Saccharomyces cerevisiae S288C: one gene and its partners. The gene in region 3 interacts genetically with the main gene of each other region. Each region holds a gene or a part of one and is shown on either strand. Other genes may lie near its edges.

Region 1 (4,696 bases), on a different chromosome or scaffold from region 3:
CACTTGTAAAGAAACCATTTATCAATTTTACTCAATTCATTAACTCTCTCAACAGTATAGTTTTCATGGATTAAGGCCTGACCAATGGCAAGGACTCTTCTATCAGTTGGAGTTCTCAAGGCTTCATCAAGTTGATCGCCGAATTCAGTAGAACCTTGGAATCCCAATAATGATGGATCCACCTGTCTTAATGCTTTTTGAAAGGCTTCTTCATAGTTTCTACCAATAGCCATAACTTCTCCAACTGATTTCATAGAGGAACCAATGGATCTGTCCACGTATTGGAACTTAGAAAGATCCCACTTAGGTATTTTTGCCACAATATAATCCAAAGATGGCTCAAAGTTAGCCACTGTAGTTTTTGTGATTGGGTTTGGCAATTCTGGCAAAGTATAGCCTAGCCCAATTTTGGCGGCAGTGTATGCTAAGGGATAACCAGTGGCCTTAGACGCCAATGCAGAGGAACGAGATAAACGTGCGTTCACTTCAATAACTCTATAGTCTAGCCCATCAGGTTGCAAAGCGTATTGGACATTACATTCACCAATAACACCAAGGTGTCTAATGATTTTAATTGCGGCGGATCTTAACATATGAAACTCTTCATCTGATAGGGTCTGCGAAGGAGCAAAAACCATAGAATCACCAGTATGAACACCAAGTGGGTCGAAATTTTCCATATTACATACTGTAATACAGTTACCAACCCTATCTCTGACCACTTCATATTCAACTTCTTTCCAACCTTTCAAAGATTTTTCAACAAGAATTTGTGGGGCCAACGACAAGGACTGTGCGGCAAGTTCCTTCATTTCACTTGCATTGTTAGCGAAACCTGAGCCTAACCCACCCAAAGCGTATGCAGATCTGACAATAACTGGGTATTTGACCCTTTCAGCAGCCTCCAAAGCTTCATCCACGGTTTCACAAGCAAATGATTCTGCGATGGGAATGTTGATATCCTTTAACGCAGATGCGAAAAGATCCCTATCTTCAGAAGTGATCAAAGTTTTGATAGGAGTACCTAAAACTTTGACGTTGTATTTAGCCAAAACACCAGATTCATCCAGAGCCACCCCACAATTTAGACCTGTTTGACCACCGAAGGTTAAAAGTATAGCATCCGGCCTTTCAAGTTCAATGATATATGTGATGTATTCTGGTGTAACGGGCAAGTAATAAATCTTGTCCGCCAGGGAATGAGAAGTCTGGTTAGTAGCGATATTTGGGTTAACCAATATAGTAAACTTGTTATCTTCCTTCAGAGCTTTGATAGCTTGAGAACCACTGTAATCGAATTCACCAGCTTGACCAATAGAGAGCCCTCCTGATCCAATGACAAGTACAGAATTTACTCCTTCAACTAATTGAGGTTTGTAGTCCTCGGTAGTAAAAGCAGAATTCGTAGGCTCTGTTGATGTATAAATCGATGTCATTCTTTTCTTCCTGTCTATGTACTGTATTGCTCTTCCTTTATAGAACTAATTTTAACTATAGATGTTAGTTTTTCGATGCTTAAACTTAAATAGCGCTTCAAAAAAGAGATAAGGCATACTATAGAAGACGTATTAGTAATTATATATATACAAATAGCATGGCAGAAATGCTTATGACGGAAAAAAAAAGATTGGATTTTCTCGATGCTTACTCAAGGTGACACAATCGTTACGACATGGAGGTTCCTATCTCTGATATTCAAAAGTTATTGCCATCTCATCAATAAGAGTCATTCACAATAATCTATAGAATGCCGCAGGAAAGAAGACAGTGGTGGATGAGTCATTTTCTCAACCCTAGTTTACAATCTGAATGTTTAGGGGATTTACTATTTTTAATTAGGACATTTGAATATTTCTGATAGGGTAAAATCACTTTTTAGGGTTTCTGATTTTCTATTTTCCTCATTTTTCACAATAATAACAATGTTGCCATTCTTTTATCACTACCCTAAATGTACCAAATATTAGTAAGAAAAGAAACATTATAAAGAAAAGGAGGTTTTACAAGGGTCACTTGGTGAGATTAGGTCGTCGTTATTATTTTTATTTTGTGGGCGGGGTGTAATAGTGCTAAAAAGAGGGAAAAGAAATAGTATACCATTCCGCAAAGATGGAGTACATCAAGATTGCCAAAGTATCTAATGTAGTGCTGCATAGAAGAGGTACGGCCACACAAGGTACTTTACATTTGACTACTCACCATTTGATCTTTGAGTCACCACAATTGTCGACGGAATTTTGGTTTCCATATCCTTTGATCTATGGAGTGCATAAAAACCCGGGTAGTACATTACTGTCCAAGTTGACTTCCACTAATCAAATCCAATTGGAGGGAACGGATTCACAGAATTACAAGCTTTACCAGGGTAAGGATCTATGGTCTTTTGTAAATATCAAGGTAATTGGGAAAGATTATGCGGTATTCTCATTGGATTTCGGTGGTGATTTACATCTACAGGCAAGAAAGGTGTATGATTCCATCTTAAATTTGACGGTCCTGTCCAATATCACGCAACTATATGCATTTATTTACATATCCAACAATCTGGAAAGGAAACTACCTTCACCCGATAGCTGGGATATATATGACCCAATTAAGGAATTTCGAAGGCAGGGCCTCGACAGTAAAGATGAAACATGTCCTTGGAGGCTATCCACGGTAAACGAACACTATGAATTTTGTCCAACGTATCCCTCAAAACTTTTTGTACCAAGATCCACGTCAGATATATTATTGAAGCATGCTTCGAAGTTTAGATCACAGAAAAGAATTCCTGTTTTAACTTATCATCACAAGGCAACAGATTGCAACATTCTTAGGTCATCTCAACCATTACCGGGGTTGATCAATCAGAGGTCCATTCAAGATGAAAAATTAGTTTGGGAAAGCTTCAACTCATTTTGTAATAAAGATATTAGAAGAACGAAACATGTAATAGTAGATGCCAGACCCAGAACAAATGCATTAGCACAGATGGCGTTGGGTGGCGGGACAGAAAATATGGATAATTATAATTTTTTTTTAGCTGATAACAATATGGGTGTCGATAAAAGTCTAAAACTGCCCACAGTTACACGGTTATTTCTTGGTATAGATAACATTCATATTGTTTCCAACACAGCTGCATACATGACGGAAGTTATCTGCCAAGGTGGCGATTTGAATTTACCACTGGAACAGAATTTAATTAGGAGTCAAAAATTTTCCAATTGGTTGAAGTTGAACACTCTTATTTTAAAATCCGTTGATATGCTTTTAAAGTCCATCATTTTCAATCATTCCAACGTTTTGGTTCATTGTTCTGACGGTTGGGACAGAACCAGTCAAGTTGTATCACTATTAGAAATTTGTTTGGATCCTTTCTATAGAACTTTTGAAGGTTTTATGATCCTAGTGGAAAAAGATTGGTGCTCTTTTGGTCACCGGTTTTTGGAAAGAAGTGGTCATTTAAACTCTGATATTAGATTTCATGATAACACTATGCATTCCAACTTCAACGATGTGGATACCAATGGCGATGATCTTGACATAGGTGTTAACACTCAAGACGATTATGCTGAAGATGATGAAGGAGGTGAAGATGAGACGAATTTAATTAATTTGAGTAGAATTTCCAAAAAATTTAACGAAAACTTTAAATTGAACAAGAAAAGTCTAAAGTTCGTCTCCCCAGTTTTCCAACAATTTTTAGACTGTGTATACCAACTTTTGACGCAAAACCCAGATCTATTTGAATTCAACGAAAGATTTTTAAGAAGACTAGTTTACCACTTGTATTCATGCCAATATGGAACATTCCTTTCCAATAGCGAGAAGGAGAAATTTCAACAGAATTTGCCAAACAAGACTAAAAGTGTCTGGGACTACTTCAGATCTAGAAGAAAGCAGTTCATAAATCCAAATTTCATACAGAGAAAAAGAAGCGGCATGAATGAGCACGATCAAAACCTTGAAGAGGAAGAAAAAGTGGAGTGGATTTCGCCGGATCTGAAGAAAGTCCAATGGTGGTGGCAGTTATATGGAAGAAAAGATTCAGAAATGAATGATGAATTACGCCATAAACGAGACTCAGTACCCATATCGGTGGATAAAAAGAGTAAAGAGCATAGTAATTCCGATGGCGGTAAGGGTTTAAATTTGTCAATTTTTGGATTTGATATGTTTAATAGAAAGTGATCTGGTTAACGGCAAAGAAGACAAATAAGTGAGTTAGTATTTTGCATACAATGATAGAAGTATAGAAAAGTTCAAGCATTTCTCCGTTGTTAGTATACATATATATATATTAATTTTAATGAATAAGGGTACATATATTATGAGCATAACGAGTGGCCGATCGGCAAAGGGGCTTACAATTTTACAACACCAGATTTCCAACTAACACCACACCACTGAGATATTAGTATAGCCAATCCTCTCACTGCCTCCACAGTTTCCTTATCACAACCAATATTCAAGGCACCTTTCAAATGCCCACGCAATTGAGGATTAACATCTTGTGGAACCAAAGAAGCAATTATCACTAAACTTGTCTCTTGCGCAGATAGTATCTCATCAAAGGCAAACAAAGGGCCATATACATGGACCAGTGTATAATACCATAAGTCTGGGTACGAAGAGTTTAGATTGTTTACCACGCGGGTTGAGACTTTGTTGTATATTGAATTCCAATGCCGTAAGCCGTTCTGTATGGTAT
Region 2 (5,931 bases), on a different chromosome or scaffold from region 3:
GACTTCATCCTTATGCTAATCCTGTACCGAATTCCGACAATGGAAATGAGCAGAATACAACAGACCATAATAGTAAAGATGCAGAAGTTAGTTCTGTGTATTTTGATGAAATTGTATTCAATGAGCCAAATGAAGAGTTTTTCAAAATTTTAATGAGCCGACCAGGAAATTTGTTACCTTCAAACAAAACTGATGATTGTGTATACTCCAAGCAATTAGAACAGGAAGAAATTGACAGAATAGAGATCGGCATAGAAAAGGTTGACAAGGAAATTGACGAATTGAAGCAGAAACTGGAAAACTTGGTAAAACAAGAAGCCATTAACGGAAGTTAGGATCACTGCACCCGGAACAACGGTATTTTCATAACAGCCATAGTAATACAGATCATGGTTTGAAAGGTCGGCGCTCACAAAACCGAAATGTGTGCAGAGTCATATAAACATCTAAACAACAGTTATGATACATATTCTATAAATGCGTAATTTTAGTAACACAATTTAATTGGGGTCGCAAGGCTTCAATGGATGAACGCTTAGCTTCTCTAGTTCAGGGTTCTTCGCAGGAACTTTTGGTTTAGACTTTTTCTTGCAAGGGAGTTCCTCTTCAGATTTTGAATTCGACGGGGAAACTTTTATTGAGTGTTCTTGAGAGGTGTTAAGCTTGTTAGCAGCAACACTTAAATAATGCGGTTTTTTGACAACTGGTGGCTTCTCAGGTTTTGTGGAGGCCTTTGCTGGCTCAGGATCTTCTGTAGTGGACACACCTGAATTTTTGGTAGATGTAGAGATTTCGTCCGGGGCAGTACTGCTCTTCCTTCTAATAGGAGGACAAGGTCGAGGAACAATTTTCCCATTATCTATGGTCTCTTTAGCATGCTGTAATTCTGAAGAACTTTTCTGTAAAGAGACTGGCTTAGATAAAGATAAAGCGGGCACTGGCGGCAGTGGTTTGGGTGTACTGTGTCTCTCTAAGGCAGGAAGATTGCTCTCACCTTTACGCGGCGATACGCTGACAATGGAAATCTCTTTGGTAGGGGAAAGAAGTTTAGAAGATGGTTCCTTATTGTGCCTCGAGGTAGGAGGAGGCGGAGGAAGCACATTGAGCTTACTTTTATCGGGTGATACGTTACTGAGTCCTCCAGGGCCAACAACAGACGGTTGGGGACTGGGACCAGAAAGTAGAGGCGAAACGCACGAGGAAGTATCATCTAGGTCAATTAGTTTTATGCCCGCTGATTGAACGGTTGCATCTAAGGGTATACTTTCCTTTTGTTTTTCCATTCTTGCATGAGAAAGTTCGTCAGGACCTGTAGTTAGTGCTTCGGGATGCGTATTCTTATATTCTGCATACAGCTTCTCAACTAGGTTAAGCTTCTCTTTTTCGTCAACAAATTTCACATTTGCCCTATATGCAGCATAAACTGGTTTATGATCGCTTATTTTTAAAGGTGCGTCCGAATATGCCAATGGATGCAGGTTTTCACCTTTATATATGATTCTATCAGTCCAAGACGGAGTTCTCGCCTTTTCAGAAGTATCATAATTATCTGTGCCATAATCATATTTATAGGTCGGACGGAATTGGAGGGTCGGTTCTTTAAAGCCCTGAAATACCACTCCTTCATTTATTTCTTGAGTCAACTGATCATATTGAAGCAATCTATCAATATAGCCATCCTTTTGAGCCCTTAATTCTCTTCTAACTTCATCATTTGTCAAAGTTATCCTGTAGTTAAGGTCACCCAACCAAAACAACGAATCATGGTGTGGAATTGTCTTTGATCTTGGAAAGGTTATGTTCCTGTAGATATTGTTGTAGTCATTGCGACGTTCGTCAATGTTACTCGCACCTGCTGATAAATGTGTATTAACGAAACAGAATGAAGTTGCCCCATAATCGAATCTAATGGCTACTGCACCTTTGTTTCCAGTAATACCACCAAACCCAGTCTTTTTGGTAGACCCACCTACCTCTTTTATGTTATAGGCTCTATCTGATCTTGCAAAAAATAGTATCAAAAGAGAGGACATCTGTTCCACTCTAAGTAAAAGATATTTTTCTTCGTATTGATTCAAACAGTCAGTAACCATAGTTTCCCAAAAAGAACTTTTCGTATAATCTGCATTCAAGATAGACCCTGCGGTCAACTCTATAACTTCCTGCAACCCTAACACAACGACATCAGGTTTGAATTTATCGCCGATTGGAAATAACCATTTTGACAAATCTGCTCTTCGAGAGTTTCCGTTAACATTGAATGTACCGACAAACAAATTTATGTTAGAATGAGTGGTGAATTTTTCCTCTGACTCTAACAGCCTTTCATTGACGTATTCGCAGATTGGATCATAAAGTTCAACAACTTGCTGGTGCGGTAGTTTGCCCAAAAGTGTGTCAATATTTTGCTGTTTTCCTTTATCTACAAAATTGTTGATGTACATTCTACTAACGGACTTCGTCGCATCAGAAAGGGCGCCAGAAAAAGACATTTTACCTTTCCTTGAATAGGACGATTTCAGAGCATTTGTCCCAGTGTAAATTTGTGATATCTGATCTCCGTTGTCGGCCCATAAAGCATTCACCTTTTGCACAAATTCATTATCGTCGATGAAACTACTGGGTTTTACCAATCGGAAGTCTTCCAAAAATAGTTTGAAAACGGCCAGTGAAATCGTCTGTTGGATCAAATTTGTTCTATCTAAACAATCCAAGCAATTGGTTCTAAAGACACCGTCTTGTTCGGATATTAATCGCCCTTCTTTTACATCGTATGAAAAGTAACCGGCGTCCAAAATTGTGTTTCTTATTTTAGGGATAATCCTACTTGCAGCTGCAAACCCATCTTGCGAAGTTTCTCTATGGAAATCAAAGCTTGTTAGGAACACATCTCTACCGATTTTCATTTTCTCAGAATTTTTCAACTGTTCCTTGTATCGCCTCGATAATTGAATTTCTGAAGATTTAGTAGACAGCAGGTTGATTATATGAACTGGCCCATACTTCTTAAATAGTCTTATAAAATGTTCATCAAACGTGGGCTGTGTTGCTTCAACAGATCTGGTAATTTGAATCTTTGGACTAATCAAAGATGTATCCTGCTCCCAAAAAATTGGAAGGCTTCCTCTTATCTGCGTGAAAGCATAACAATACTGAGAAGAGTACATAATCATTTCTGTTTCAACAAAATTTGCGACATGGCCATCATCATCTATACCACGTGCATTAAACCTTGTGCCTGCTCTTTTCCAACTTTGCCTGGAAATAATGGTAAGTCCTACTTTCAACCTATTAATATAGCTAAAAATTGTTTCAGCAAACCCTCGGATTACGGTCGTGAGGAATCCTCGTTGATCCAATAGTTCTTTGGCCGTTACATCTAGTCTGTCTCTGTATGTGATGATTTCGTCCATAAGAAACGAGTTCCACATAAACTCCCGGTCAAAATCATCAAAACTCAAAGAGTGTTCCGTGAATCCACGTTTCTGCAATGTACAAGTTAAATCAAAATCGGTGCTGTAATAAAAAGATCCATTTGATAATAGCTTTCTTAGTTCATGACATGGATGCTTGGGAGCTTGTTCTTGAGCATTCAAACTCCTAGAGGAAGAAGAACGTAGCGATGATCTAGAAGAATGTGTGGAAATACTAGGAGGCGAGCTTATTGCAAAATCTCCATCATTAGTAACAATCGGATAACCGGATGAATCGATGTCCATGAAATCCCATTTAGAATTATTTAAGCAAAAAAAATCCACAGCATATATTTTGTTAACCGTTTTGTTTGGGATCGGCTGGGCCACCTTAGATTTACCTGTTATGGTTGCTATGAACATAAGGCCTTCAATTTCTATGAGACCAATAAAACCGTATATTTCATGGTTAGATAGTCTTCTGAAACCATTACCATTTAATTCAGCTTTCGGAACCAATTCCACGGCACATGTAGATCTGCGAGAGTTCTTACTGTTTATTGGCCTAAATACCAGTCCATGTGTTTCTGAAACTATTGCTATCTTTCTAGTTTGCTGTTTCGATAGGAGTATTTTCATAGCTACTGAGTATTTGTTTTTGATTCTGCTGCCTTTGCGTGGCCTTTGTCACCAATTCTGCGAACAAAAATATGTTGAGACTATATGAAGCGAGTACTTATTGTCCTTTATGCCTAGTTTTCCAGTTAAATCTCTCTTAATAACTCCAGGTTTGTTTCAATTTCGTCACTAACCGCCAAACAAGTTTCGGGTCACCCCACACGTATTTGGTTCAAGAATATACTAAAAAAAGAAAAACAAGCACTAGCCCTAGATATGGAAAAAAAGATATTAAAACGTAATTCTAATTTAGACATCCGTGCTTCTAGTAATTATATGGTTAAAAAAAAAGGAAAGGAAGTAAATAAATAAGTATAGAAATAAATAGAAGCGAATAAGTCCTGAAATACAGAAAAGTTCTTATGCAGAGCCAGATGCCGCAGCATTCTTACCTTCGACCTCGGCCAAAGATGGAATGGACACATCACCAGAATGGATAATATTGTTAATGGTGGCAAAGATGGCTCTCACTGAAGAATCACCGACATCTTCGGAGACACCTACACCCCATTTGTAGGCCTTTTCGTTGTCGGCATTACGCCTATACGATAGATGGATGTAAGAAGCAGCTTGCGTAGAAGAACCAGAACCTAGAGAATGCTCTGTGTAGTTTGCTACGGCAAATCTCACGTTCAACAAGTTTGATAGGGCGTCGACCAAAGAAGAGATTGGACCATTACCTGTACCTTCAATATCGACGATCTGGTCGCCTACTTTGACTTGACCAGTGAACACTCTACGTTCAGTGCCGAATTTTTCAACATTATAATTGACTAAACTAATAGCTTGGTACTGTTCGTCATTGTAGTTGTAAGCCTCTTTGAATAACTTGGAAATCTCATCTGATTTTAGTTCTCTACCCAAGGAGTCAGCATGGTCTTGAACGGCGCTAGAAAATTCGATTTGCATGTTTCTTGGTAGATCCAAACCCAAAGATCTCAAAATAACCCAAGCGGCACCACCTTTACCAGACTGAGAGTTGACTCTGATGACAGCTTCGTAATCACGGCCAATGTCCTTTGGATCCAATGGCAAGTATGGGATTCTCCATTGAGTTTCACCTTGAGCACGCTTCTTGTTTTGTAAGTTGAAACCCTTCTTAATGGCGTCTTGGTGAGAACCGGAAAAGGCACAAACGACCAAGTCACCGCCGTATGGTGCTCTTTGCGATACTGGGATCTTATTACAACGCTCAACCACATCTAGGACAGAGGTCAAGTCAGAGAAATCCAAATTAGGAGAAACACCTTGGGTATACATATTCATAGCAACAGTAACCAAGTCCACATTACCTGTACGTTCACCATTACCAAAGAGACATCCTTCTACACGGTCGGCACCTGCAAGCATACCTAACTCTGTGGCGGCGACACCGCAACCACGGTCATTGTGACAATGTGTAGAGATGCAAACCTTCTCACGCTCAGTAATATGGGTAGCGAAGTATTCAATCTGATCAGCATAAACATTTGGAGAGGCAACTTCTACGGTAGCAGGTAAGTTGAAAATGATTGGATTTTCCTCGGTAGGTTCCCAAGCCTTCTTAACAGCTTCGCAAATTTCTACAGCAAATTCACCTGGAGTATCACTGAAACATTCGGGGGAAAACTCATAGGACCAACGAGTGGCTTGTTGGGAAGGGTCATCCTTAGTTAGTTTCCTAACTAGTTTGGTGGCCTCTACTGCCTTGGAAATAGCTTCCTCTCTAGACATATTAAAAACAATTTCACGGAACATATCACTTGTTGCCAAGTAAGTATGTATAGTAGCCTTTTTAGCACCTGTTAATGCTTCCACCGTTCTCTTAATCAAGTGTTCTCTAGATTGGACAAGACATTGA
Region 3 (3,003 bases):
ATTAAATTTGTTTTTTTAAAAATTAAATTATCATACCAAAACATGATAAATTATATCGCCATATACGAAAATGTTGGTGACATGTAATCTAAATAATAACTTTATCGCAGTAGAAAGACATATTTCTCTCAAAGTTTGCAAAATTATGTTGATCATAAGTCTCTTCTTATATAAATGTCATAGAAATTAGTATAAGATTAAGAGAAAATGTCACTACATTATATAAACAATAGCAATTGTATAAACACATAGAAATATGAGTATATAAACAAACATTGAGAACAAGAGCAAGACGATGGGGAGTTTCAAATAGGATAGCTATACTGACAACATTCAGTACTCGAAAGATAAACAACCTCCGCCACGACCACACTCTATAAGGCCAAATGTACAAACACATCTTCCCAATATCCGTCACCACGTACTTCAGCATAATTATTCGTCAACCACTCTACAAAACCAAAACCAGGGTTTATAAAATTTTACTGTTGCGGAAAGCTGAAACTAAAAGAAAAACCCGACTATGCTATTTTAATCATTGAAAACGAATTTATTTAGATCTCATACGTTTATTTATGAACTACAAATTGTTAGTATAGGATATATTTAAGTTTGATTCTCATATTACATACCCAAACTCTTACTTGAAGTGGAGTAATGCCACATTTCTTTGCAACTTCTTCTTTTTCCTTGGAATTAAGGCTTTGCTTTCTTCTAAAAACCTGTTCTAAAAATGCCCGTGCTTGGGGTGATATTGATGATTTTCCCTTTGGGCTCTTCTCTTTTTTAATGTGGTGGTATATTTCTAACCTATTGTTAGAAATATTTTTGTGTAATGTATGTTGCTCTACTTTAGTCAAATTACTTTCCATTATAAACTGAAGTATTGTTAGTAAATTGATTCAAAGGCTATCCTTGAAATGAAAACATACATTATAAAGATTATTAGTATTGAGATTGATTTCATCAATCTCAGTACCTAGAATGTTAAACAGAGTTCTGTTTATGTTTTCCGCCATACTACAAATATCATCCATGTTGTCCTTCTTGATTTTCTTTGATATAAGGAGATGTATTGTTTTACTTTTCCTTTTTGGAAGTTTTATACAGTTTCCCCGAAAGAACAAAAATCAAGAATAAAAAGCTCTTTTCTATTTGCTGTAATTTACCTAAGTTACCAGAGAGTGTAACAACAGAAGAAGAAGTTGAATTAAGGGATATATTAGGATTCTTATCTAGGGCCAACAAAAACCGTAAGATTAGTGATGAGGAGAAGAAGTTGTTGCAAACAACATCTCAACTCACTACTACCATTACTGTATTACTCAAAGAAATGCGCAGCATAGAAAACGATAGAAGTAATTATCAACTTACACAGAAAAATAAATCGGCGGATGGGTTGGTATTTAATGTGGTAACTCAAGATATGATAAACAAAAGTACTAAACCTTACAGAGGACACCGGTTTACAAAAGAAAATGTCCGAATACTAGAAAGTTGGTTTGCAAAGAACATCGAGAACCCATATCTAGATACCAAGGGCCTAGAGAATCTAATGAAGAATACCAGTTTATCTCGCATTCAAATCAAAAACTGGGTTTCGAATAGAAGAAGAAAAGAAAAAACAATAACAATCGCTCCAGAATTAGCGGACCTCTTGAGCGGTGAGCCTCTGGCAAAGAAGAAAGAATGAGCCCGAAAAACAAATATGTATATATCTGTGTAGAATATATATATATATATATTTCGCAAAAATACATAAACAATCAACCCTCTCCTCAGACACTACTAAGATGTTTGTACTGATAGATAATGTCCTCGCCTACCTTCTTGAACAAGATGGATAGCTCTGGTAATTTCTAGATTTGTATATGACGATAAAATTTTTGTTTTTCGGAATCGAGAATCTTCGTAATGCTAAGTATAAATTTGTAGTTTTAACAAAAACCAGGAGTACCTGCGCTTATTCTCAAACGTATTAGTAAGTAATAGGTATTACTTCAAAAGGAGTCTTAATTTCCCTGATTTTAGTTTAGTACATGATCTATTGCTTTCAAATATTTTTATGGAAGATTAAGCTCATAACTTGGACGGGGATCGTTCGTATTTTATGATGTATTGATAGAATTAAATAAAACGTTTCTACTTTTTTTCAAGGTTGATGGGTTTTTGCAATATAATAACATTTTTTATATTTAGGTATTAAATTGCGATTTAAAAAATCAAACATTGTTTAATAAAAAATTGAAAACACTGATAGAAAAAGTAAACAAATAAATATATATATATATATATATATTGATACTATTTATAAAATTATTATTGAAAAGTTTTGTTTGCAAATGTGGACGAAAAGAAATGCGATTTAGCTTATATTTCATGATGTGAAGGATTATTTGACCTTTCTATATGCAATAAAAAGGGTACAAGATACGTAATGTTAAAACTTTTTTGCACTGAAACTACAGTTTTTTTAAGTACTAGTGGGTTAGAGATTTGCAACTATTTTCTTCTTGTATGATATTACCGATACAATACTACAAAATTATTTGTACACGCTTTGGGGACATCATGTATAACAGCGATAGTGCGAGGATTTTATAAAACTTTAAATTTTTTTTAGAGCAAGTTCGTTTCCATAATCTTATATTATATTTTAACAATCTGTTTGTACATAAAATTCAAACTCCTTAAGTTTTTTTTATGTTGACGTAGTGGATTACGATCTAGCCTATATACAACAAGGTAGTAAGTTTAGTAAGTTTATTGGACCCTTCTATATGTTATGTAAATGTAAGAATTACATAGTTACCTTTTTGTACATAGAAACTATAGTTTCTTAAGTACTACCGGATTAGAGGTTTGTTATTATATGTTTTCCTTGTGTAAACATATAATAGCAATACTGAAACATTACTCGTATTATGCTTTTGGGTTATCACGTTCAACAAGGAACTCTACCAACTCTAGTTTTAAATTGATTATTAAATGGATTGGATGTCG

The links.
Region 1: of HMRA1 (region 3) and YMR1, extra expression of one rescues a mutant of the other (dosage rescue), as found in Saccharomyces cerevisiae (one study listed by BioGRID).
Region 2: of HMRA1 (region 3) and INP52, extra expression of one rescues a mutant of the other (dosage rescue), as found in Saccharomyces cerevisiae (one study listed by BioGRID).

Annotation. Positions count from the first base shown.
Region 1 is NC_001142.9:631,506-636,201, forward strand, and holds YMR1 (phosphatidylinositol-3-phosphatase YMR1), read left to right. Parts: upstream 1-2,109; coding exon 2,110-4,176; downstream 4,177-4,696. Other genes in the region: carbamoyl-phosphate synthase (glutamine-hydrolyzing) CPA2, read right to left, coding at 1-1,436; PXP2 (Pxp2p), read right to left, coding at 4,350-4,696. UniProt on the Saccharomyces cerevisiae protein: Lipid phosphatase which dephosphorylates phosphatidylinositol 3-monophosphate (PI3P). Involved in the control of PI3P-dependent signaling and in the maintenance of endosomal system integrity.
Region 2 is NC_001146.8:420,444-426,374, forward strand, and holds INP52 (phosphatidylinositol-3-/phosphoinositide 5-phosphatase INP52), read right to left. Parts: upstream 4,053-5,931; coding exon 501-4,052; downstream 1-500. Other genes in the region: YEATS domain-containing protein YAF9, read left to right, coding at 1-335; 2-isopropylmalate synthase LEU4, read right to left, coding at 4,452-5,931. UniProt on the Saccharomyces cerevisiae protein: Dephosphorylates a number of phosphatidylinositols (PIs) like phosphatidylinositol 4,5-bisphosphate (PtdIns(4,5)P2), but also phosphatidylinositol 3-phosphate (PtdIns(3)P), phosphatidylinositol 4-phosphate (PtdIns(4)P), and phosphatidylinositol 3,5-bisphosphate (PtdIns(3,5)P2).
Region 3 is NC_001135.5:291,869-294,871, reverse strand, and holds HMRA1 (Hmra1p), read right to left. Parts: upstream 1,038-3,003; coding exon 933-1,037; intron 879-932; coding exon 633-878; intron 581-632; coding exon 551-580; downstream 1-550. Other genes in the region: HMRA2 (homeodomain mating type protein a2), read left to right, coding at 1,334-1,693. UniProt on the Saccharomyces cerevisiae protein: Mating type proteins are sequence specific DNA-binding proteins that act as master switches in yeast differentiation by controlling gene expression in a cell type-specific fashion. Silenced copy of A1 at HMR.